6 linked regions of the Callithrix jacchus genome follow. The protein of the gene in region 4 purifies or fractionates together with the protein of the main gene of each other region. This does not show direct contact. Links are inferred from orthologs where the notes say so. Each region holds a gene or a part of one and is shown on either strand. Other genes may lie near its edges. The genes, in order: CCND1, CDK5RAP3, CUL2, CDKN2A, TOP1 and UBE2I.

Region 1 (4,141 bases), on a different chromosome or scaffold from region 4:
AAACCATTCTGGAATAATACACTAACTGCTGGCTACCTGTGTCAGAGGGTGCGCTGAAATAGGTTTGGGGGGGCTCTGCCCTCAAGGGATTGGGGGAGAAGATGCTATTGTGTCTTTGATGTCCCGGACCTTGTGGCCTGTCACCCAGAGTGAGCCCACAAACAGATGTGACAACTGAGGCTTGACCAAAAGGGGGCAGGGCCCCCCCATCAGGGTAACCAGGGAAGGAGGCGCACAGGGGGGTCAGAGGCAGGGCTGGGGACAGCAGGAGGCAGCACCCTGTGTATGCATGTGTCTATCCCAGTTGGGTCCTGGGGCCAGGGCCATGCCAGCGGAGGTGAGGACTGGGTACTTCTGCTGCCCACGGTGGCGGCCTAAGCTGAGACTGCTCTGAAGTGCTCCCCAGGGCTCAGCTGAGCCCAGCAGACTGGCGGCACCCCTGGCAGGGCCTCAGGCAGCTGAGCTCCTCTGCTGGACACCCCTGCACTCAGCTGCCCAGAACACGTGGTGCAGGCGGGCCGACAGCTCTCCCCGCCCCCGGAGGCGCCTCTGGCAAGTCGCCCAGCCTGGGAGAGGCCAGGAGGGGGCCCCCGCAGCTCAGGCTCCTTAAGGACACAAGAAGGGCTGGAGGTCGGTGGGGAAAGGAGGCGGCCCTGCGGCCAAGGTAAACCCCTTTCGGCCTGGAGGATGAGGCCACAGCATCTAGACACAGGCAGGCTGGCTGCGTGGTGGCGCGGCCGTAAGGGCAAATCCCCTTCCATCCAGCGCAAACAAGCCAGCACCTCTGCTCACCAGAGCTGGAAGAACTCTTCCCAGCGCAGGCGGGGGCCTAGGGACGTCCTCCGGGACAGCACCCAGGTGCAGAGCAAGAAGCTGGCCAGGCCACCTAAGGTGCTGGCTTTCAAGGGGAGGCTGGGGGCGGCTGGGCCTGCCCTACCTGTAGCGCAGAGGGCAACGAAGGTCTGCGCGTGTTTGCGGATGATCTGTTTGTTCTCCTCCGCCTCTGGCATTTTGGAGAGGAAGTGTTCGATGAAATCGTGCGGGGTCATGGCGGCCAGGTTCCACTTGAGCTTGTTCACCAGGAGCAGCTCCATTTGCTGCGAACACAGGGTGAGCGGCTATCAGGGGAGGTGCGGGCCGGCCTGGGGACGCGGGGAAGCCGGCAGTATGGCCCTAGCCCCTGAGTCTCGTGTGGTCCTGGGGGTGCGGGAGCAGGACTGGCGAATGCTGGGGGGTCCAGGAAGCTGGGGCAACACACGATCCCAGATCAAAACAGAAAAGGCGCCCGCCGCGTGAAAAGATTCTGCAAGTGGAAACAAAAAGACTTCCCACCACCTGGAACGGAAGGCTCAGCGTGGAGCGCGGCGTTCCCGGTGCAGCCGCTGGAGGGCGCGCGCCGCCCATTTTTCGGCCACACCGCAGAGCGCTAACGAGGTGGGAGTCGCAGGCAAGCGCGCACGGGGCGGCTAGGATCCCACCCGCTCCCAGGACGAGGACACCCGGCAAAGGGGCCGCCTGCCGCCCCTGCACCTTCCCCGGCCCGGTGGTCCTGCGGCTCGCGGGGGGCGGCGGGGGTCCCGCGGTTACCAGCAGCTCCTCGGGCTGGATGGAGTTGTCGGTGTAGATGCACAGCTTCTCGGCCGTCAGGGGGATGGTCTCCTTCATCTTAGAGGCCACGAACATGCAGGTGGCCCCCAGCAGCTGCAGGCGGCTCTTTTTCACTGGCTCCAGCGACAGGAAGCGGTCCAGGTAGTTCATGGCCAGCGGGAAGACCTCCTCCTCGCACTTCTGCTCCTCGCAGACCTGCGGGGGCACGGGGCCCGTGACCGCCGCCGCCAGGTCGCGCCACCCCCACCCCACTCCCCCGCCCTCGCATGCCCATCGCGCTCGGCAGGACCACCAGTTCTGGAGGGCGCCGAGGGGTCGGGGCCGGGGGCGGCAGAAGCTTCCTGTGATGCGCCCCCTCTCGCGCGCGTCCCGAGTATCCACCCTCCCTGAAACTGAAAGGGAAAGTCCCCGCGAGGCTGGCATGGTGGGGGCGGGAGCGGGCACAGCTGGGCGGCGGCGCGGGCTGCAGGCCCCGGGGACCCCAGCCCGCCCTGGAGCTCCGTGGCCCCTCTGGCTGTGGGTCGACACCCACTGGGGTGCGGGGCCGCGCAAAAGGCCGCGGGGTTGGGCGCCGCGCCTGCGAGACACAAAGGTGGCGTCCCAGGCCGCCGCGCCGCATTTCCCCAGACGTCATCTTTTCAAAAAATATTTAAAAATATTTAAAAAATAACTAAGTGCGTAAAAATACCCTGAAAATGACCCTCGGACGGCCCTTTACCCAGGCCGGGGGTCGGGAGTTTGTTACAGGGTCCGGGGGAAGCCCCAGGAATTCAAACTCCGGGGACCCCCTTCCCCCTGGGCGCGGGCGGTGTTTCCCTCTCGCAAGGGCACCACGCCGCACTTTCAAAAATTATTTAAAAATACTTGCGGGCCCCTCAGGCGCCTACCGAAGGTGTGAAAATGTTCTCCCAGGCCCCCGGCTCGCTCGGAGAAGGTCCCCCAAGCCGAGATCCCTGCAGACGGGGATCCAGCCCTGGCGTCTTGGGGGCCACGCGACCTTGCAGCTCGGCGTGCTCTCCGGCCCAGGCTGCCCGTGCGGGGCGCTTTGGGACTCGCTGCTTGAACAAAGGCCCCCCTTTCCCCAGCGGGGTCCCCCCAAAACTACCCATGCTGCGTCCCCGCGCCCCTCCCGCGGGCTCCGGGCAGCCGCCGGGCCCCTAGTTGCGGCCCCAGCGCCCGGCGGCCGCTCCCCGCCCCCACCCTGCCCCCAATTATTAATAAACACTTTTGCTGTGCAATAAAAGAGCAAAGATGGCGCATAATACTGGCACGAGAAGCCCTTGCATACGTGTCCATGGATAGTAATTTAAAAATCAAATCTATGCCCCCTCCCCCCGGAGTTGGAGGCTCTCGGCCGCGGCGGCCGGGAGAGGAGCCGCAGCATGGCTGGGGCGCAGGCGGGGGGCACAAAGCGCACCTAACCTGCCAGCCCGCACCCTCGGGCCCATTGGGGTGCTCCTGGCACTGGCTTCTCCTGGAGGCACCCCTCCCCGACCCCCTCCTCCCGTCCCAGGAAACGCAACTCCTAGCACCCCCACCCCCACCCCTTCCTTCTTCAGAAAATACCCACAATTTTTATTTTGAAAATACCTAGCAACACCCCGGCAAACTTCAAAGGTCTAGCGGGAGAGAAGAGAGGGGAGTGAGAAGCAAAGAAACGTGGGTATGGGCAACAAGTTGCAGGGAGGTCTTAAGAGAGCCGCCCGAAGCCCCGCACCTCCAGCATCCAGGTGGCCACGATCTTCCGCATGGACGGCAGGACCTCCTTCTGCACACATTTGAAGTAGGACACGGAGGGTGCGCAGGTCTCCTCCGCCTTCAGCATGGCCCGCAGCACCCGGTCGTTGAGGAGGTTGGCATCGGGGTAGGCGCGGCGGATGGCCTCCACTTCGCAGCACAGGAGCTGGTGTTCCATGGCTGGGGCTCTGCCTGGGCAGCTGGGGAGGGCTGTGGGTTCCGGCTGCGTCCGCGCTCGGCTCTCGCTCCTGCTGCCCCGCGCTCCCTCGCGCTCTTCTGCCCCTCGCCGGAGCGCGCGGACTCTGCTGCTCGCGGCTACTGCGCCGACAGCCCTCTGGAGGCTCCAGGACTTTGCAACTTCAACAAAACTCCCCTGTAGTCCGTGTGACGTTACTGTTGTTAAGCAGAGATCAAAGCCGGGCAGAGAATGGGAGCGGGAGGGGGCGGGGGCGGGCGCAGGGGGAGGGGGCGCGGGCGCCAAACGCCGGGAGCAGCGAGGGGCAGAGCCCAAAAGCCATCCCCGAGGCGCCGCGCCTGCCCTGCGGCGGAGTTGCCCCCGTAGTCCGGTTTTCATAGAAATGCAAATCGCCCCGCTGCAGCCTTTCTCCCCGCCAGAAAAGAGGGGTACAGGGGGCCCGGTCCGACTCGAACGGGTCCCCCGGGATTTGGGGGTGGGGTGGAGGTGGCTCTGCAGTAGGGGACAACTGGGAAGCCCCACAGGCCACACGCAGCCTAGGGAGACCACGAGGAGGGGGGACTCCGGGGCGCGGCGACACCCCATATCCAAGCCGGCAGA
Region 2 (3,500 bases), on a different chromosome or scaffold from region 4:
TTCAAGTGATGCCTTTACAGACAGAAATTACACTTGTCTTATGGTTAGTGTAGTGATCAGAGAGATGGACTAAGAGGGCCTCCTCACCTTTGAGTCTGATTCCAGGGAGATGCCCCAGTCAATTCCAGAAGCCCCGGCAGAGAAGCCAGAGTCAGTCCCCTCAGACATTGCCTCCACCCCAAAGTCGCCCCAATCAATCTAGAAACGGAAAGAGAGTGTTAGCTCATGAAAGATGAATTTAAAAAGGGCTGGGTATGGTAGCTCATGTCTGTAACCACAGCACTTTGGGAGGCTCCCCTGGAACCCTTCAGCCCAGGAGTTTGAGACCTGCCTGGGCAATATGGCAAAACCCTGTCCCTACAAAGATGTTAATAAAAAATTAGCTGGGAGTGGTGGTGCATGCCTGTAGTCCCAGCTACTAGGGAGGTTGACTTGGGAGGATCACTTGAGGATGGGAGGCAGAGGTTGCAGTGAGCCAAGATCATGCCACCGTACTCCAGCCTGGGCAACAGAGCAAGGCCCAGTCTCAAAAATAAATTAATTAAAAAAGGAGGGTGGGGCTGCCTTCCCATAGGCCTCAGTTGCTTCTGTAGAGAGCACACTGTTCAAATACAGTGGCCTCTAAGCTCCCCCAAAGAAAGCCCATCTTCAGAAAGATCGCATGATGGAGGTTCCGAGTTCAAAGCGAACCACCTTGCAAAGCCTCTGCAGCACTCACAGAGAAAAATATATACTTAGGGCCGGCGTGGTGGCTCCTGCCTGTAATCCCAGCACTTTGGGAGGCTGAGGCAGGCAGATCACCAGGTCAGGAGTTCAGACCAGCCTGACCAACACAGTGAAACCCCATCTCTACTAAAAATAGAAAAATTAGCTGAGTGGGGTAGCGCACGCCTATAATCCCAGCTACTCAGGAGGCTGAGACAGGAGAATCACTTGAACCTGGGAGGCAGAGGTTGCAGTAAGCTGAGACTGTGCCTGTACTCCAGCCTGGGCAAGAGAGTGAGAGTCTGTCTCAAAAAAAGAAAAAGAAAAATACATACTCAGAAAAATAAAAGTAAGGGAGTAGGGCCTCCTGGGCCCTTGTACCTACAGTCACTCTCACACAAAACCCCCTTTCTTCCCTCTGGGACTCTGAATCCAGGTCTTGGGTTGGGCTGTTGGGGGTGGGGAGGAAACAAGTAGGTCCCACTCTTCTCCCACAGCTCATCACAAGGCCCATCTTACCGCATCTTCTGCCACCTGCTCAGGAGGCTCCTCAAGGTGGGGTCGCTCCACCACAGAGGGCTCTGTTCCTGTCCTCCACTCATACACCGTTGAATTTCCCCGCTTCTGCACGAACTGCAGCATTGGCAACACCTGCTCTGTGGAGCTTCAACAGAGCACACAACTAACTCTCCTGCCGACCATGCATGAGGCCAACACTGGGCTTTGGCCTGGGTCACATGGTCAAATGTGCAAGGCCCCCACAGGTTCACAGACATGAGCTGGGGAACACAGGCAAAATGAGCCCACCAGGAGAAACTGAGGCCTCTTTACCTCTCACACACAAACCCCACAAAGGCCTGGTACAGGTCGATGGCTTCCCCCAGGGACTGAGCTGCTGCCCCAGTCTCAGCCAGCTGACTTGGCAGGTCCTTCACCAGGGCCAGCAATTCTCCTCGGACATTTTCACCCTAGAGAGGGAAGAAGAGGGGAACTGAGACAGAAGTGGTGAGAGGCGGAGTACAACAGACTGAATAAAACATCCAAAGACTGGAGAAAAGTGAGACCCTGGCCCAGAGGAGGCACAACTGGGCTGAGGGATCAGACAGGGTCAGAGGAAGACAGACAGGGGCCCAGGTGTCCTCTGGCTGCAAAGAGGCCACCACTGCTCACCATGATGCCATACTCCTTGCAGGAGTGGTAGAACTGCTCCCGCATCTCGGTAGCCCCTGCCTGGCACTCCTCCTCCTTGCGGCTGTATTCCTGCCACAGCTGCTGGCACTTGGCAATCTGCTTCTTCAGTGAGGGGATCTCATAGTTGACATTCCGAACCAGGAGGCTAGAGAGTTCCACTGAGAAGGGCCCAGGAAATTCAGCCCAGGACACCCTCACATGAGGTAGACATGTCCCAGGATGCACACACACGCTTTGTGGTGGTGGTGAGCATGAGGTCAGCTTCCCAGCCCCTCCTGTTACCAGCTGTGGAGCCTAAGACAAGTTAATTAACCCCTCTAATCCAACCCTGATCTGTAAAACAGTGACAATAACATTTATTGTGAAAATGCAAAAGATAATCCACATGATACACCAAGCACAATTCCTTGCATTTAGTAGGTGCTCAGTAAATATTAGCCATTATTATTATTTATACTAAACCCAATCCAAACACAAGTTAGGCACTTGATATTGCTCCCAGGAGAACCTGTGCCTCTTCTGCCTTATGTAGAATGGGGTGGGAGGAGCTGCACACTTCTCCTTACCAAGAGGTGAGTGGTGGAGGACCCACACACACACCTGCTTGCTGAGGCATGGCGAATGCCCACTTCCGGCCTCCTCCTTCCCCCAGCATTCCACCCAGTGGAAAATCAATCTGTGGGTGGGAAAATCAATTCCATCAAAACCAATTGATTTTACCACCTACAAATAGGCAACATCTACACTCCAGCTTCTTCCCACTCACAGACTGTGCCTCCTATAAACCTGGTATCTCAGGACTCTGGAAGTGGGCTTCCCCACAGATACCAGGGCTCCCAGGCTGGGCCACTTTACCTAAATAGGTGTTGTCCTTCTCATACAGGGCTATGATCTCCTGCCAATCCTGAGTAAGAACAGAAAGAGGATGTTAAGCCAGAAAAGCACTCAACAGCCACATCCCAGCTCAATCCCTAAACAGGGGAAGTTCTCCCAGCTTTCACATCACATTAAACACAAATTCCTTGTCCTTCTTTCAACTTATACTGCTGGCTGGACCAACCACTTTAAGAGTGCAGGTGATCCCCAAAGTAATGGGTCTGAAAATTAAATTCAGGAGTAGGATCTACTTTTGGAATAAACTACAGAGACAGAGCAAAAGTTCAGAAAATATTGTATGTAGGCATCTCCACTGGAGCCTGAGAGAGACCACAGAGGCGATGACTCATTGGACTGGAAGTCCCCAGCCACATACTAACAGCCCTTGGCCCACACTTGCCTTCATCCGCTGTGAAGAATATCGACCAAAAATATTTTTCGTGGAGGCCTCTGTGCCTTTGAGAAGGTCCACGATTCTTAGGCAGTGAAAGTAGTGAATGTCTGGAAAGCAAGAGACAGGACTTTGAGAACTACAATATCTTCCTCACCTACTCTGGCCACTGCTGGTAGTTGATTCATGTGTAATATACTGCCAGTAACTTTAGTGTGTAGCTTTTCCTTTGATCATTTCATGGTGGAAGAAGCCAGCAACTATACCTCAAATAAAAATTGCTCTCTCTCTAAAGGCCAGCCCTGGTGGCTAAATAACAAGGGAGTAGCTCAGCTGA
Region 3 (3,500 bases), on a different chromosome or scaffold from region 4:
TCAATAGGACTTCTTTGTTTCTTGAGACAGTCTTGCTTTGTCACCCAGGCTGCAGTGCAGTGGCACAGTCTCAGCTCACTGCAAACTCTGCCTCTGGGATTCAAGTGATTCTCCTGCCTTTGACTCCCAGTAGCTGGGATTACAGGCACATACCACCACGCCCAGCTAATTTTTGTATTTTTAGTAGAGATGGGGTTTCATCATGTTGGCCAGGCTGGTCTGGAACTCCTGAGCTCAAGAGATTTGCCCGTCTTGGCCTCTCAAAGTGTTGGGATTACAGGTGTGAGCCACCACGCCCAGCCCAAATCAATAGAACTTTGGAAGCCACGATCTACTAACAGAACCAAATGTAATCGGATATCCATTAATGAATCCTTTGTATCAAAGTACTGAAATGATTAATAAATGGTCATAGTAAAACACATACTCATACCTGTAGAACATATATTTGAAAACTAATTCCCAAATCTATTACTGTGTCTTGGTTTTTGATAAAATTGTTGAACTTATTGTTGAGATCAGCGCTGACACTCATATCTGTATACATCCGATGTAGCTTGCTGGTAAACTCATAACCACAGGCTTGCTATAAAAAAGTTTTAGAAAATATATGACTTTAAAAGAAAAACAGTAAGTCATATTGGTTAATAAGAATGTGTCACTATTGCTAGGTCTTTGGTCAAAGGTCCTTGCATTTACACTTACACCCAAGGACTAGTAATATATTCTTCACAACCCAAAGCAACTAATCAAAACCTTTCAAACTGCCTTTCTTTTTAAAGGTACATTTTAAATAGGTGAATGAAAACCACCTATCTACGAACAATAAACCTCCCCTTAAACAAAAACTTTTTAATACAGTCATCTCTTATTTCAGCACTGCAAAATGCCCCATTAATACATATAAGATACCGTATAAGGATTTTGTTATGTTTTGTTTTAAAGACACGGGGTCTCACTGTTGCCCATGCTGCAGTGCAGTAGCTACTCACTGGAGCCATCACAGTGCACTACAACCTCAAACTCCTGGGCTCAAGTAATCCTCCTATCTCAGCCTCCCAGTAGCGGGTCTCCTGGCATATGCTATAGCTGTGGGTCTTATAAGGTTTACAGACAGTATCAAATAAAAGATTACATAAATGATTACTGGGAATACTCCAGCCAATAGAAAACTGAAAAAGAGCTATTTAGGAATATTTTTAATAGCATCTACTGAGTGACAAAGAAAACTATTTCTTTCAAATTATTCAAAATTCTGTCATTACCAGGTCAGAAAATCTGAATCTCTAATCTCGAAACATAAAAAGCTGTGTTCCATTTTCTTTTGCAATTAATTAATTTATCTATTTAGAGACAGGGTCTTCCTCTGTTACTCAGGATGGAGTGCAGTGATGTGATCATGGCTCACTGCAGCTTCAACGTCCCAGCCTCCAGCAATCCTCCCACCTCAGCCACCGGAGTAACTGGGACTAAAGGCACACACCACCACACCTGGCTAACTTTTGTAATTTTGGTACAGACAGGGTTTTGCCATTTCCCAGGCTGGTCTCAAACTACCGAGCTCAAACAATCTACCACCTTGGCCTCCGAAAGTGCTAGGATTATGGGTATGAGCCACCATGCCTGACCAACACTACTTTTAGAAATTAAAAGCTAAGGTTTTTTTTGTAGGTTTAAAAAGGAGCACACAGCAACTGGAAGCAATGGTACACGCCTGTTGTTCCAGCTGCTCAGGAGGCTGAGGTGAGGGGATTGCTTGAGTCGAGGAGTTAGAGCGAGCCTGGGCAACATAGGGAGACCCTATCTCTTATAAAAAGAAAAAGGAGCACATATTATATTCAAAATGTCTACTATGCAAAAAAATTTAATTATTGAATAACACAAGATAAGTAAGAACCTGCTACCACTTACTTGTCAGTGTATAAGCAAGCTGAAATGAGGTAAAAATAAACTGAAATGGAACTGCATTCCAAAACTGTACTTAAAGGAATATTTTACATGTATTCATTTATAAATAGCAATAATCTTTTATTGTTAATACTGATTAGCTTGTGAATCTTTTTTTTTTTTTGAGACGGAGTCTAGCTGTGTCACCCAGGCTAAAGTTCAGTGGCATGATCTCGGCTCACTGCAACCCCCACTTCCCAGGTTCAAGTGATTCTCCTGCCTCAGCTTCCCAAGTAGCTGGGATTACAGGCATGTGCCACAATGCCTGGCTAATTTTTGTATTTTTAGTAGTGATGGGGTTTCTCCATGTTGGCCAGGCTGGTCTTGAACTCCTGACCTCAAGTGATCTGCCTGCCTCAGCCTCCCAAAGTGCTGGGATTACAAGCATTAGCCACCGTGCCCAGCTGTGAATCTTCGTATAAACATATATATCTTGTTCTTTTAATACAGTATTTGTATACCCTACTGTGCGAATATATGAACATACACTGAACCAGATGAATTGTTTCCTGTTACTGCATACAATGCTGCAATGAACATCTTCATGTGCTTGTGAATGAATTTCTAGGACAGTACAGGATTAAAGACTTACATTACCTTTAATTTGTTGATCATGGCTTCTTCAGAGTCCATAGACATGGATAACCCATGAATTAAACGTTTTGCCAGCATTCTTGCATAGAACTACATTGAAAAAAATTTTTTAGGATTACTTCCTTTCTAATGATTTAGCATTCAGTAATAAAGTTGACTAAAACACAAATAAACTTTTCTGTTCACAACATACCTTTTGAAAGACGTCCTTGTCATCAATGTATTTGAACACCGTGATGAAGCTGGTGAGCCTGTCTTCCACTTCATTCTCTGTCATTCCTTTCGCCGACTTCTTCAGTAAGTTGTCACAGTACTTAGCAAGCTCAAGTAGAAATTGATAATAAATCTTACAAAGGGTGCTTCTGTATATATCACGCCTCAACCAAGGCAAAGTGGTAATACAAAATGAGTTCAATGGACAGAGTTTTTGCTGTTTTTTCAGAGACTGGGTCTTGCTCTGTGCCCAGGCTGAACTGCAGGGGACAAGATCATAGCTCACTGGGGTCTCAAACTCCTAGGCTCAAAGGATCCTTCTGCCTCAGTCTCCCAAGTAGCTCGGGCTACAGGCGTGCACAACCACACCTGGTTTCAAAAGCTCTACGTAATAATCATAAATGCAAACTAAATAAAATATACATCATAAAGTTTTTAAAAAGAACTAGAACAAGTTCCAACATTGAGTCATCACTTACTGACCAATAAAGCAACTGATATAAGTAACATACATTTTTAAAAGAACACCCAGGTGAGTTTCAAGTGGTTTTATAATTTGACATTGAAGAAGTACTTTTAAAAAATGTTACAAAAACCATGTAAAATTATGTTTCCGTCAAAGGTTACCCAAACTTTATTAGCAGATTTCCTTTAGATTTCAGATTTAACAGAATCTACATGAAAAGTAATGCAAATTATTTCAAAATAGACATGTTAAAACCCAAACTTTGTAAAATAAAATACTT
Region 4 (4,250 bases):
CACCATTCTACTCTCTACTTCGAAATATTAAATTGTTTTATATTTCACGAATAAGTAAGAACATGTGATATTTGTCTTTCCGTGTTTGGCTTATTTCATTTAGCACAATGCTCTCCAATTCCAAAACTTCAATTCCTTCAAATATAAAACAAGATGGCTAGTCTTAATTAGTCCTAAAATTCCTTTCTGTCGTAGGCTGAATAATGCCCTGTCCCCACAAATATCTATGCCCCAATCCTCAACAGCTGTTAATATATTACCTTAGGTGGCAAAAGAGGCTTTGTAGATGTGATTGAATTAATGGTCATGAGGGCGATTATCTGGAATTTTCAGTGTAAGCCCAACATAACCCCAAGTGTTTTTATTAGAGGGTCACAGTCAGAGAGAAAATATTAGAATCAGAGGCCAGAGAGAAAATACAGGGGCCATGATCTAAGGAATTTGATGGTCACCAGAAGCTGGAAGAGACAAGAAAACAGATTCTGCCTTAGAGTTTCCAAAAGGAATGCAGCACTGTGGACCCATTTTTGACCTCTGATCTCTAGAACTATAAAATAATAATTTTGTGTTTGCTTTACTACTACATTTGTGATAATTTGTAACAGTAGCAATAGGAAACTTAAACACTTTCCAGGTTTATAATTTGAGAGTTCATTAAATAAGAGATGGTCACTTCTTTGGTTCCTAAATCATCTTGAAAACAAAGCCATTTCCAAAGAGGAATTTTAAAACACTGTCTGCAGTCATAGCAACCTTAAAATTTGAGTATTATGTGGTAGATGATAGTAGAAGCAGATAATTTATTTTGAGATAACTGTTATTTGTTATATCAGCTTGAGGATGGTGGTGTTATAAAGAAGAATTATTTATTTTTAGGCACATTTTGTATTAAACACAAATTGTATAATTTGCCTAAATCAAAGAATTATACTAAATTATACTGTAGTTACTAAATCCTGTCCTAAGAAAGTGAAACTGAGTTATTTTTCAAGGAGACAAAGAGAAAGTACAAGAAACCAAATTGCAGCTACAAAAAGACAAAATATTGCAGTAAATTTATTGTTTTGTGTGTTCAATGAAGTCCTTCATTTCGGTCATAAAACTAGTCTTAATGGTTTTTCTTATATTTCATAGTATGAAAAATCTAAAAAGTAACCCATATGTAATTATTTAAATCATGATAGAAATCCAAAGCAAAAAGAAAATGAATCAATTGAATGAAAATGTGTAGGATGCTTAAACACATTTAATAAGAAATTAATATGAATTTAGTACTTAAAAATGTTATACAAATAAGTTTCTATATTAAGCATCAATGTAGTTAGGATTCTAAGCCAACGTCATTTCCCCTTTTCTACATGTTCTTCTCCCTTCCCCATTAAAAATTGTCAAAACTATCCACTTTTCTTTTCCCTTTTTGCTTATAAACAAATAAGGTCTCTTCTACAATATTTTAGGGCTACAATGCCAAACTTCCAGGTCCAAGCTGCTGTTACAATTTTAGAGATGCAAAGATACCCAGGCATTAATTACTTTTAAATCATCCCCTAACCCCTCACAAAACTGGAGTGGGGAGAGGAGAAACACTACTTTTCAAAAATGAGGAAATGAAAAATCTCTAAAACTCTATCACAAATAAATTATATCAAGAAAGCTAAAGATAGCAAAAACAGCAAAAATGTCAGCAGATAATCCCAAAATGGTAACTACATATTACATCTGGTGTGATCACATGAATGTGATTCATTATATGCATCTATCTATCTGTATTTCCTAAGTTCCTACAGCAAACATATATTTTTGCCCTACTCACTTAAAAATAAACACAACATGTAGTTGCTTCGGAATAATTTCTTTCTTTTCTTTTATTTATCGGACTTTCACCCTTTCACCCAGGCTGAAGTGCAGTGGTGTGATCTCGGCTTACTGCAACCTCCGCTCCTGCCTCAGCCTCCCGAGTAGCTGGGATTACAGGCGTTTACGACTATGTCTGGCTGATTTTTGTATTTTTAGTAGAGACGGCGTTTCACCATGTTGGCCAGGCTGGTCTCCAACTCCAGACCTTGTGGTCCGGCCGCCTCGGCCACCTAAAGTGCAGGGATTACAGGCGTGAGCCACCGCAGCCGGCCGCTTCTGAATAATTTCGATCATAAATTTATATTCGATATTTATTCCAACATACACGATAGATTATTACTGATAATACCTCCTAGCAAGAAAGATAAGCTCCATCCAGGATTCTGTGAATTCAGGGCTAAATAGTTCCAGTACATCCTACATTTCTTTAAGACTCGCGTTTTATCCCAAACGTTTGTAAATTTTGTATCTGATAAAGAGCATACCTCCATCTAATACAAATATTTCCCCCCTCTTCAGATCCTTACAGCATTCCAGAGATCTGCACGCGCGGGCCTCCTCAATCCTTCCGTGGCTTCCCAGGGCCCCCAGAAGACCAGGTCTTTGATTACAGACCTCTTCTGAAAACTGCGCAGGAAGCCTCTCTTTTTCCAGAATAAAAGCGCTACTTGATTCCCCTGCAAATCTCGTCCTCCAGAGTCGCCTATCACCCCCTGCTCCCGCTACAGGCCCTGTACCCACCTGGATCGGCCTCCGACCGTAACTATTCGGTGCGTTGGGCGGCGCCCCCGCCTCGAGCAGCGCCCGCACCTCCTCTACCCGACCCCGGGCCGCGGCCGTGGCCAGCCAGTCCGCGGAAGGTTCCATGCTGCTCCCGGCTGCTCGCTCCCCGCTCTCCCTCTCTCCGCTCCTGCAGCGCTCTCGCGGCCCGCACTGCAGTCTCGAGACCAGCCCGCCCCTCCTCTTTCTTCCACCCGGGAGGGCGGGCGGAAGAGCCCCCACCCCCAACACCCGGGACGCTGTCCCTCGACTCCTCCGGCGGAACGGCTATATCTTTCCAGGCGGGGGGGCGCCGTTCGCTAGTCCTCCGAGGAGGTGCTATTCACTCGCTGCGAAGGTGGCACCCCTGAAGCCGCCCCAAGGTGGGTCTGCCCCGGGGGCACCAGCCGGAAGCGGCCCTCGCCCGCCGGAGCCCAGAGGCGGCGAGGAAAGGCTGGACTCCTCCCCACCTGCTCCTACACCGCCCTTCGGCAGCCCTGCTCCCGGCCTTGCTACCCCGCCTTCCCAGCAACCGCGCGTTTTCGTCTCAGAGCAAAAAGAAATTTCGCACCCCCCACACCCCTCCCCCTGCCCACGTTTCCTTCCTCCACGGTACAACCTTCCTAACTGCCAAATTGAATCAGGGTATTTGGAGTCACAGGGAAAGTATGGCTTCTTCTTTTACTCATAAGAAAAAGCAAAACTATTCTTTTCTGTTTGTGAGAGCCCAGCGAGGATCAAAATCACCTGTGCGACTGGGAAGCGTCCCCCTACCCTCTCAACCCTTGATTTTCGAGAGCGCCGGGTTCACTAAGTCAGAAATCCTAGTTCAAAGGATTCCTTTTGGAGAGTCGGCCTGCTCTCTCCTTCCCTGCCCCTTCCCCTCCTATGTGCAAAACGGCTGTCTAGGGCGTGGATTTCTCACACATGTGCATTGCCTGGTATAAGGGCAGACTCTGAAAAAATGAGGTTTGCTTAATACGACAGGAGAGAATTGTGCCACGGACAGGGGAGAATTGTACCAATGGGGAGGGAGTACTGGAAGGACGGATTCCATTCTGAGTAAGTCATAATTCCTAGACCAGAAGAAGTGCTCAGTGTTCTAGAGGCAGAGTTGCACAGTGATTCAAAGATCAGCTTTACACACTGTTCTGTCTCCTTCACACGCACATTTCCCCTTCCCACTGAAAATACCTTGCATTCTTTTTTTTAGTTATAAAGGGGTAGGGGAATATGAGTGCCCCCTGCTTTACAGGAGTTGTTGTGAATTTAAATGAATTGATGTATTAATACATATGAACCTTAAGAACAGTGCCGCATACCCTAAGCTAATAATACCTGTTATCTCTTGAATTGTCCATTTTGAGGATTGGCTTGCAATTCTGTGCTTTTTTTTAATTTAAATTTTATTATATGCAATTCTGTTTTGAGGCATGAAAAGAAAATGGTTTGGAGCTGGGCGTGGTGACTCACGTCTGTAATTCCAGCACTTTGGGAAGCCGAGGCAGGTGGATTACCTGAGGTCAGGAGTTGGAGACCAGCTTGGCCAAAATGGTGACACCCTGTCTCTACTAAAAATACAAAAATTAGCGAGGCATGGTGGCGCACGTAATTCCAGCTACTCAGGAGGTTAA
Region 5 (3,500 bases), on a different chromosome or scaffold from region 4:
AATTTGAGCCAACAGTCATAAGAAAATAGGAAGTTAATATGTAAGCTTGGCCTGGGTAAATTCCCATCACAAGAGGAACTCTGAGGTAATATAATAAAATCTACACCTTTCTTTTTACTCAGAGAACTTGGCTAGGGACCCTTCATCTCCTTGCTTCCTCCCTACCCATATGCTTGTCATAGGTGCTGCTGCTATTATTACTATGGTTTGTTGCCCATATTCATTAAGTTCTATACTGGCCACTCCCTGCCTCCCTGCCTCCCTATCTCTCTACCCAATGTAGCCTGAACAAAATGAGGAACTGAAGAGATGTTAAAAGTTAAAAAAATTTAAGCTATGAGTGGTAGTATTATTATGATTATTATTATTTTAGAGATTGGGTCTTACTCTGTCACCCAAGCTGGAATGCAGTGGTATGGTTGTGGCTATTGCAGCCCTAAACTCCTGGACTCAGCCTCCCAGGTATCTGGGACTACCACTACACCTGCCTAATTTTTACAAATTTTTGTAGAGATGAGGTCTCACTATGTTGCCCAGGCTGGTCTGGAACACTGCTGGGTGCAAGTAAGTCTCCTGCCACAGCTACCCAAGTGCTGGGATTACAGGTGTGAGCCACTGCACCTGGCCTGGTAGTATATTATTTAAAAAGAAAAATTGTAAATGTCATCCAAAAAAATTGTTTTTACTTGTATAAACAGTGTCGCATTCTTTCTATCACCTTAAAACACTGACCTGAACATACCTACCTCTGGCTTTTCTGGTTCATATTCTAAGGCCATTTGACGTATTTACAGAGGGCAGTGGAAATTCATTAGTGACTGGGCTCCAGGAAAAAAAAAGTCCGTGATCTTGGTGATAATATTCTAAAAATTGGCTATAGAAAGTATCTACTCTCTTACAGGGAAAAAAAATGATAGAAACTTTAGGGAAAGGACTTATCCCTGTATCTTTCTCATAAACATGACAACTTTACTCTCTTCAATTTAACAGAACATCACAGCACTGCCTTCACTCTGTGAGCTTTTAAGTAATATATTAATAAAACACAAATGCAGGTATTTTCATAGCAGGTAAAAAGCTGTCAGCAATCCATGAAATTAATCTTGAAGTTGGGGTGGGAAGGGGGAAACAGCACTGATCTTAAGTTTATACAACTAAGCATTAGCTAACTATTAGAGGTCTAAAGAGGAAAAGTGTCTGATCACAATGGTAGGGAAAAAAAAGTAGAACTGACTCTAGGACTTAGCTAAGCAAGGACACCGGATACCATGAGTAGGGGTGTGGGCCCTGTCCAGCCAAGTAATACTTACGGGCTGTGAGTTCTTTTAACTGCTGTTGTAGCGTGATGGAGGCGTTGTATGTACGGAATACCTTGGCTGTTAAGCCCTCCATGAGATCCTGAAGATGCTTATTTAGAATACCAGTCTGGAGGAGACAATGTAACAGAGACTTAGGTCAAAGCTGTACTACCTGCTCCTTCTGGCAGCCCTAGGAGTAATTTATACCAGTGCAGTCACAATCGTGTCAAGTTTATTTCCCTACAAGTGAGAAGTTAGGAAAAGAATTCCAGAATACAGGGTTACATAATGCCTCTCTATGAAGTATTTCAGTGTGCATGTGTGTGTACGTATGTCAGGGTCTCATTCTGACACCCAGCCTGGAGTGCAGTGGTGCAATCTCGGTTCACTGCAGCCGTCACCTCCTGGGCTCATGAAATCCTCCTGATGCTCCTAAGTAGCTGGGACTATAGGCATGGACCACCACGCCTAGATAATGATTTTGCCATGTTACCCAGGCTGGTCTCAAACTCCTGACCTCAAGGGATCTGCCCTACTTGGCCTCCCAAAGTGCTGGGATAACAGGCGTAAGCAACCAAGCCTGGCCCAGTATTTTGATCTTAACAGACCAATAAAGCAAATTTGTCCTTCCCTATCAAGATCTCAGGCACAGGTTTTGGGTCTCCAGTAGGGATGGCTGGGCATTCAGTGAAGGGAAAGCTCTGCAGGAGCAGGGAAGGGATAAAAGGTAGGGTTCATCTACTCTCACCTTGAGGGCCTTAGCATTTGTTCTACAGCAGATGTGTCTTCTCTTGGCCACAGATTCACCGTGGGCTTGGAGGGAGGAAGAGAGAGTATACAGGATGCCACAGAGCAGGCCAGGCTAAAGGAAGAGCCCGTTATCTGCCAGCAACCCTCCCCTTGAGGTTCTGGCTGGGAATCCCTTCAACCCAGTGTGCTTTGTCTACTCACATTGAGTCTATCAAAAAGATCATCCTCAGGCTGCTTGTTCTCCATAAATAGTTGTAAGTTCTTAAAAACCTAAAAGAAATAAGTGAATCCCAATTATTACTCTTTTAAAAAAATCCTTACATTAGAAATAATCCCAAACTTACAGAAACTTGCAAAGAAAAAAAAGGCACAGGAACATGCATACATCCTTCACCCAGATTCACTGTTAACCTTTTACCTCATTCATCATTTGCACAGGGCACATGTATGCTCACTCTCTCCGCATGTATATTTACAGATATATATACATAATTATTTGCTCTGGGCCATTTATAAGTACTTACTTATCATACAGTCCTTTAACCCTAAATATTTCAGTTTGTACATTGTAAAAATAGATATACCCTTACATTTACACAGTATTTATCAGCTTCAAAAATTTACATTGATACCTACTGTTATCTAATCTACTGTCCACAATCCAATTTTGTCACTTTATCTGATGATGCCCTTTACTTCATCAGTATAGAATCCAATCTGAGGTCAGGCATTACATTTAATTGTCAAATCGCTTTAGCATCTAATAGAGTACTCTTCCACGGCCAGCAAAGTCTAATTACTGATTAAATCTGAGACTGCTGCTGGGCTGGATTATTAGTATCCTGCACACTACAGGTCTCTGGTTCCAGCCCAATACTTTGGAAAAGATCAGGTTGGGACTATGGAGCTCTAGCACCCTCTTCAGTGGTGGGATCTGGGGACTAACAGATTAACCTTTCACTCAGTCAGGAGTTGGAGAGAGGCTAAGTAAAGATGCCAAGTGACAAATGTCCTTATCAGAAAGGTAATACAGGGTGGGACAGTGACTAAAAGGAGGTACACAAGACATCAAATATTACCTCTCCCCTCTTTCAAGTCATTTATTTATTTTAATTTTAGAGGCAGGGTCTCACTCTGTTGGCCAGGCTGGAGTACAATGGATATTCACAGGTGTGATCAGAGCACACTATAGCCTCAAACTTTTGGTCTCCAGTGATTCTCCTGTCTCAGTCTTCTAAGTAGCTGGGACTACAGGCATGTGCTACAATGCCTGTCTCAAGTCACTTTTGCTGGTACCCAGCAAACTGCAGAGGACACAAAGCACTCAAGCAATGCTTGTTGAATAATGAAAAACAAGCCAGACAATACAGGCTAAATTAACTTACACGTTTCTCAACAGGGACCTTGTTGTAGTATCTGATGGAGTCCTTTCCAAGGAAGTCAAACTCTACC
Region 6 (3,500 bases), on a different chromosome or scaffold from region 4:
GAGGGTGGGTGCCACGGTGGAATGCTTGTGTGCCTCGACTGACAATCACAGGGGAAAGCTTTTTCAACTGTCGCCTCACCATGGCCAGGCGCTCTCTAGGTGCTGGGTGCATTGACGCGTGGAACTCACTGGACACCACCTGCCGACTGCCAGCTATGGGAGGGCGGGGACCCGGCGGCCCTCTCCTCCCTCCTGAGCTTTGCTGCACTGGCTGGCTGAGGTCATCAGCTTAGCTATGGGCAGGATCTGGGGCCTGGCCACAGCCTTTCTTCCCATGCTTCCTCTGCTGTCACCTGCTCTATACCTGCTCAGGCTGCAGACGCAGCCACGGTGGGGACAGACCGTAAGAGACCACACAGCAGGAGCAGTAAGAAGGTGGACCGACAGAACTCCTCAGAGGGTGAGACTGCATGGCAGTCCCTCTGCACATCCATCCATCCAGGGCAGGGTCGTGCGGTCACCAAGTCCTCTGTCCTCAGTGAGGCTCCAGGCACTCCCAGTCCAGGAGCTCCGGCCTGGCTCTCAGTCCCTCCGTGCACAAGACTCTGGAGCTTCCCAGCCCATTAGCCAGGACAAGACTAAACCTACTGTGTGCACCGCCCGGCCCCGGAGCTGGAAACAGACTCAAATCTGCAGCCCAGCCGGGATCAAGAATCAAAGGCGACCTCCCGGTCTGTGATCTCCCTCCCAGCTCCACGCAGACCACCCAGCCCAGGGCGCCACGGCCGCAGCCAGGGGTGCCTTCCAGGGCACTGAATGGCGAGGTACTCACATTTCGGTGGTGAAGATGGATAGTCATCTTTGAAAAGCATCCGTAGTTTAAACAAGCCTCCTTCCCACGGAGTCTAATGGGAAATAAACCGTGGTGAGATGAGCTGCTCGCCCGCACAGGGCGGCCCAGGAGGAAGGGGCCTGCTTCTCAGGCACAGCCCCCAGGACACCAGGGGCCAGAGGCCCAACAGAGGTAGCTCCTAAACCAGCCTGCAGCCTGGAACAGCCTCAACAAGAGGGCTGTCAGGACCTCTGCTGTGCCCAGAGTAAGTTGGAAAGGAGTGGAGGCGGGAGGTGGGGGCCGGGCTGGGGGCAGAGCACCGCACACTGGGGCTGGCACAAGGGCACCAAGAGCACAGCATTGCCCTCACCCCAGGGGTGTTCCCAAGCACCCACCCCCATCCCGCCTGGACGAGGCACCTCTGCCGCCCACGACCCCACACCACCTTCCACCTTCCTTGGCGCTGTGCACCAGCCTCGCCCTAACGTGAGGGGCAAGGACGTCCTCATCAGAGCCTCGGACAAGTGACGAACCCAAGCCACGCTATGTCTCGGGCAAGGCAGAGTCCTGGGGGCTGCTGAGCTCAGGGGACCAGAGCTGCTCTGAGTTTCACAGAAACCCAGAGCGGGGCCAGAGCCGGAGGGAACGAGGCCTTAGGCAGGACCAGCACCTCAGGGGTCTCTCCGCTCCCTTCGGAATCAACAAGCATGAACTGCACGTGCACCGCAGCCTGGAGTCCCCGGCCAGGCGCTTCACGTGCGCGGGCCAAAGAAGACAGGCACATGGGCTGTGCTGCCTGCCAGGGACACACAGGGGTCCCCAAGCAGGACGCCCAGGCAGACGCCGCCGGTCCCTGGGGGGTCTCCAGGAGGCGGCTTTACGCAGGGCTGGCTCCCCCTACAAACCCGCTCCCGAAAGCTGAGCCACACGCTGAAGGACGCAGCCGAATCCTGAAGGACTCCTGCCTCTCCACCTGCTCTCAACCTCGCCTGTGCAGCTCTGCGTTCCCAACACACATCAGAGCCCCTCCCTGCTGCCACAGCTCAGCCTTGTGCCCGGCCAGGTGCCAGCCTGCTTCCTTCTCAACCAGAACTGCCCTGGGAGGGGATACAGCTGTCAAACCTTGCCAGTCCCACCTTCTGCGTTCACGTCCCGATGGGGCAGGGGCCAGGACAGAGCTGGGATTTGACCTGTGACAAGGATGGCTGTCACGGACGGCAGGGATCTGAGTGGTTTCCCTGTGGTGCTGGGCCCCGCCAGGCGGAGGCCGGCAGCGTGCGCCTCTTACCCCTTTCTTTCCTGGAATGGCGCACTCCCAGTTCATGAGGTTCATCGTGCCATCGGGGTTTTTTGTTGGGACAGCCACGAAACCCTGAGAGAAAACAATCACAAAAGCCCATCAGCGCGGTGGCATCATTTCACCAAGATCACCGAGAACCCGCCTGTGAGTCCCAGTGGCTGGGCACAGGCACGTGGCCGGCTCCCTTCCGGCAGGGACGTGACAGTTTCAACCCGGGAGACTGCCCACTGCGCTGCACACGGACATGAAGCTCTCCTTACAAACGGGTGGTCTTTTCTCCACGCTTTCCTCTCCTGAGCGAGTCTGCTGAGGGCGATCCCCGACATGTTCAGAGTCCCTGCAACACAGGAGGCAGAGCACGCCATCAGGAGAGGCGACGCAGGCTCCTGCTGCCCGATCACGCGCACACCGGCGCGCAGCAGGTGGACCTGCTCCAACACCTGCTGGCCCAGCTCAGCAGGACTCTTCTGCAAGCCGCTGTCCAACCCTGGGGTCCACCAGGGGAGGCTTTGTGAGTGGCTCCCAGATCACCTGCCGGGGTGGGGGGCAGGTAAGATCCCTTCCCTGTGCCCACCCCCACCATGCCCCCATCTGTGGCACATGGTGTGGCCTCTGCTCCATGGGGACAAAACAGACATTCAGAGACTAGGTGGTAGCTGCCACCCTGTGGTGGCTGGCATGGCAGGGTCCCCACCACACCACCAGGTGGGGAATAGGCAGGGCTGGGTCCCCAGGTGTGTGTGGGGTACTGGGTCCCTGACTTAGTATTGGGCACTCAGAACTGAGACATCGGCCAGTGGACTCCTGTTATTCTTGAAGACAGGACGGAAGAAGCACCAGAGGGCAGAGGCTCAGACTTGCTGTGGGAGGAGCCCCCACAGGGCCACCCTTCCCAGACCCCACAGCCACTACCGCAAACCTGTGGCTTCAGGGGACAGCCGGGTCCTGCCGGGCAGAGCAGAGCTCGGCATAGGGGACCAGATCCCTGGCCAGACGAAGTGGCACACATTTGGATGGGAGCTCAGGGGCCGGGCACCTTTGCCTTATGGCTCTAGGTGGGAGCATGCTGGACCGCACTGTCGCCGCAGGAGGGCTGCAGATCCAGGGAGATGTTCCTGGCGCTGAGGACACCAGGGGGCGGGGCCCGCAGCCTCAACGCCACCCTCGACGGTCACCCTGCTGGTGGCCACCTTTACTCACGGAAACAGCACTCTGTTTACCGACTTGCTGGAGAATCGAAACCTAAGTGTGTGCTGGTTAGCAAAGTCCACAGGGACGCTGCAGCCGCCCTCAACTCTGGTGTTTCAGCACCAAAGGGGGGCACCTCTGTGGAGCTGAGGACTCCGCCAGGCCTTCTACGCTGTAGGGGGGCCGTCCTAGGTGGGCACAAGGGCCCTGGTGACCTGGATGGTGTGGGACCCGTGGAGG

What was found.
Region 1: the proteins of CDKN2A (region 4) and CCND1 purify together in Homo sapiens (affinity purification with western blotting; 3 studies listed by BioGRID and IntAct, with this or other methods). This does not show direct contact. The link is inferred for Callithrix jacchus from reciprocal best matches to the Homo sapiens genes CDKN2A and CCND1.
Region 2: the proteins of CDKN2A (region 4) and CDK5RAP3 purify together in Homo sapiens (affinity purification with western blotting; 3 studies listed by BioGRID). This does not show direct contact. The link is inferred for Callithrix jacchus from reciprocal best matches to the Homo sapiens genes CDKN2A and CDK5RAP3.
Region 3: the proteins of CDKN2A (region 4) and CUL2 purify together in Homo sapiens (affinity purification with western blotting; 3 studies listed by BioGRID, with this or other methods). This does not show direct contact. The link is inferred for Callithrix jacchus from reciprocal best matches to the Homo sapiens genes CDKN2A and CUL2.
Region 5: the proteins of CDKN2A (region 4) and TOP1 purify together in Homo sapiens (affinity purification with western blotting; 3 studies listed by BioGRID). This does not show direct contact. The link is inferred for Callithrix jacchus from reciprocal best matches to the Homo sapiens genes CDKN2A and TOP1.
Region 6: the proteins of CDKN2A (region 4) and UBE2I purify together in Homo sapiens (affinity purification with western blotting; 3 studies listed by BioGRID). This does not show direct contact. The link is inferred for Callithrix jacchus from reciprocal best matches to the Homo sapiens genes CDKN2A and UBE2I.

The regions. Positions count from the first base shown.
Region 1 is NC_133511.1:126,559,004-126,563,144, reverse strand, and holds the start of CCND1 (G1/S-specific cyclin-D1), read right to left. Parts: upstream 2,801-4,141; 5' UTR 2,718-2,800; coding exon 2,496-2,717; intron 1,804-2,495; coding exon 1,588-1,803; intron 1,098-1,587; coding exon 938-1,097; intron 1-937. UniProt on the Homo sapiens protein: Regulatory component of the cyclin D1-CDK4 (DC) complex that phosphorylates and inhibits members of the retinoblastoma (RB) protein family including RB1 and regulates the cell-cycle during G(1)/S transition.
Region 2 is NC_133506.1:118,316,492-118,319,991, forward strand, and holds part of CDK5RAP3 (CDK5 regulatory subunit-associated protein 3), read right to left. Parts: intron 3,274-3,500; coding exon 3,173-3,273; intron 2,801-3,172; coding exon 2,752-2,800; intron 2,544-2,751; exon of another isoform or gene 2,513-2,543; coding exon of another isoform or gene 2,497-2,512; intron 2,055-2,496; coding exon 1,876-2,054; intron 1,674-1,875; coding exon 1,537-1,673; intron 1,370-1,536; coding exon 1,225-1,369; intron 199-1,224; coding exon 88-198; intron 1-87. UniProt on the Homo sapiens protein: Substrate adapter of E3 ligase complexes mediating ufmylation, the covalent attachment of the ubiquitin-like modifier UFM1 to substrate proteins, and which is involved in various processes, such as ribosome recycling and reticulophagy (also called ER-phagy).
Region 3 is NC_133508.1:34,659,359-34,662,858, forward strand, and holds part of CUL2 (cullin-2), read right to left. Parts: intron 2,864-3,500; coding exon 2,735-2,863; intron 2,632-2,734; coding exon 2,545-2,631; intron 587-2,544; coding exon 434-586; intron 1-433.
Region 4 is NC_133502.1:128,971,937-128,976,186, forward strand, and holds the start of CDKN2A (cyclin-dependent kinase inhibitor 2A), read right to left. Parts: upstream 2,801-4,250; 5' UTR 2,725-2,800; coding exon 2,599-2,724; intron 1-2,598. UniProt on the Homo sapiens protein: Acts as a negative regulator of the proliferation of normal cells by interacting strongly with CDK4 and CDK6. This inhibits their ability to interact with cyclins D and to phosphorylate the retinoblastoma protein.
Region 5 is NC_133506.1:36,462,147-36,465,646, reverse strand, and holds part of TOP1 (DNA topoisomerase 1), read right to left. Parts: coding exon 3,434-3,500; intron 2,319-3,433; coding exon 2,250-2,318; intron 1,426-2,249; coding exon 1,311-1,425; intron 1-1,310. UniProt on the Homo sapiens protein: Releases the supercoiling and torsional tension of DNA introduced during the DNA replication and transcription by transiently cleaving and rejoining one strand of the DNA duplex.
Region 6 is NC_133513.1:3,569,106-3,572,605, reverse strand, and holds part of UBE2I (SUMO-conjugating enzyme UBC9), read right to left. Parts: intron 2,410-3,500; 5' UTR 2,399-2,409; coding exon 2,333-2,398; intron 2,145-2,332; coding exon 2,061-2,144; intron 846-2,060; coding exon 773-845; intron 1-772. UniProt on the Homo sapiens protein: Accepts the ubiquitin-like proteins SUMO1, SUMO2, SUMO3, SUMO4 and SUMO1P1/SUMO5 from the UBLE1A-UBLE1B E1 complex and catalyzes their covalent attachment to other proteins with the help of an E3 ligase such as RANBP2, CBX4 and ZNF451.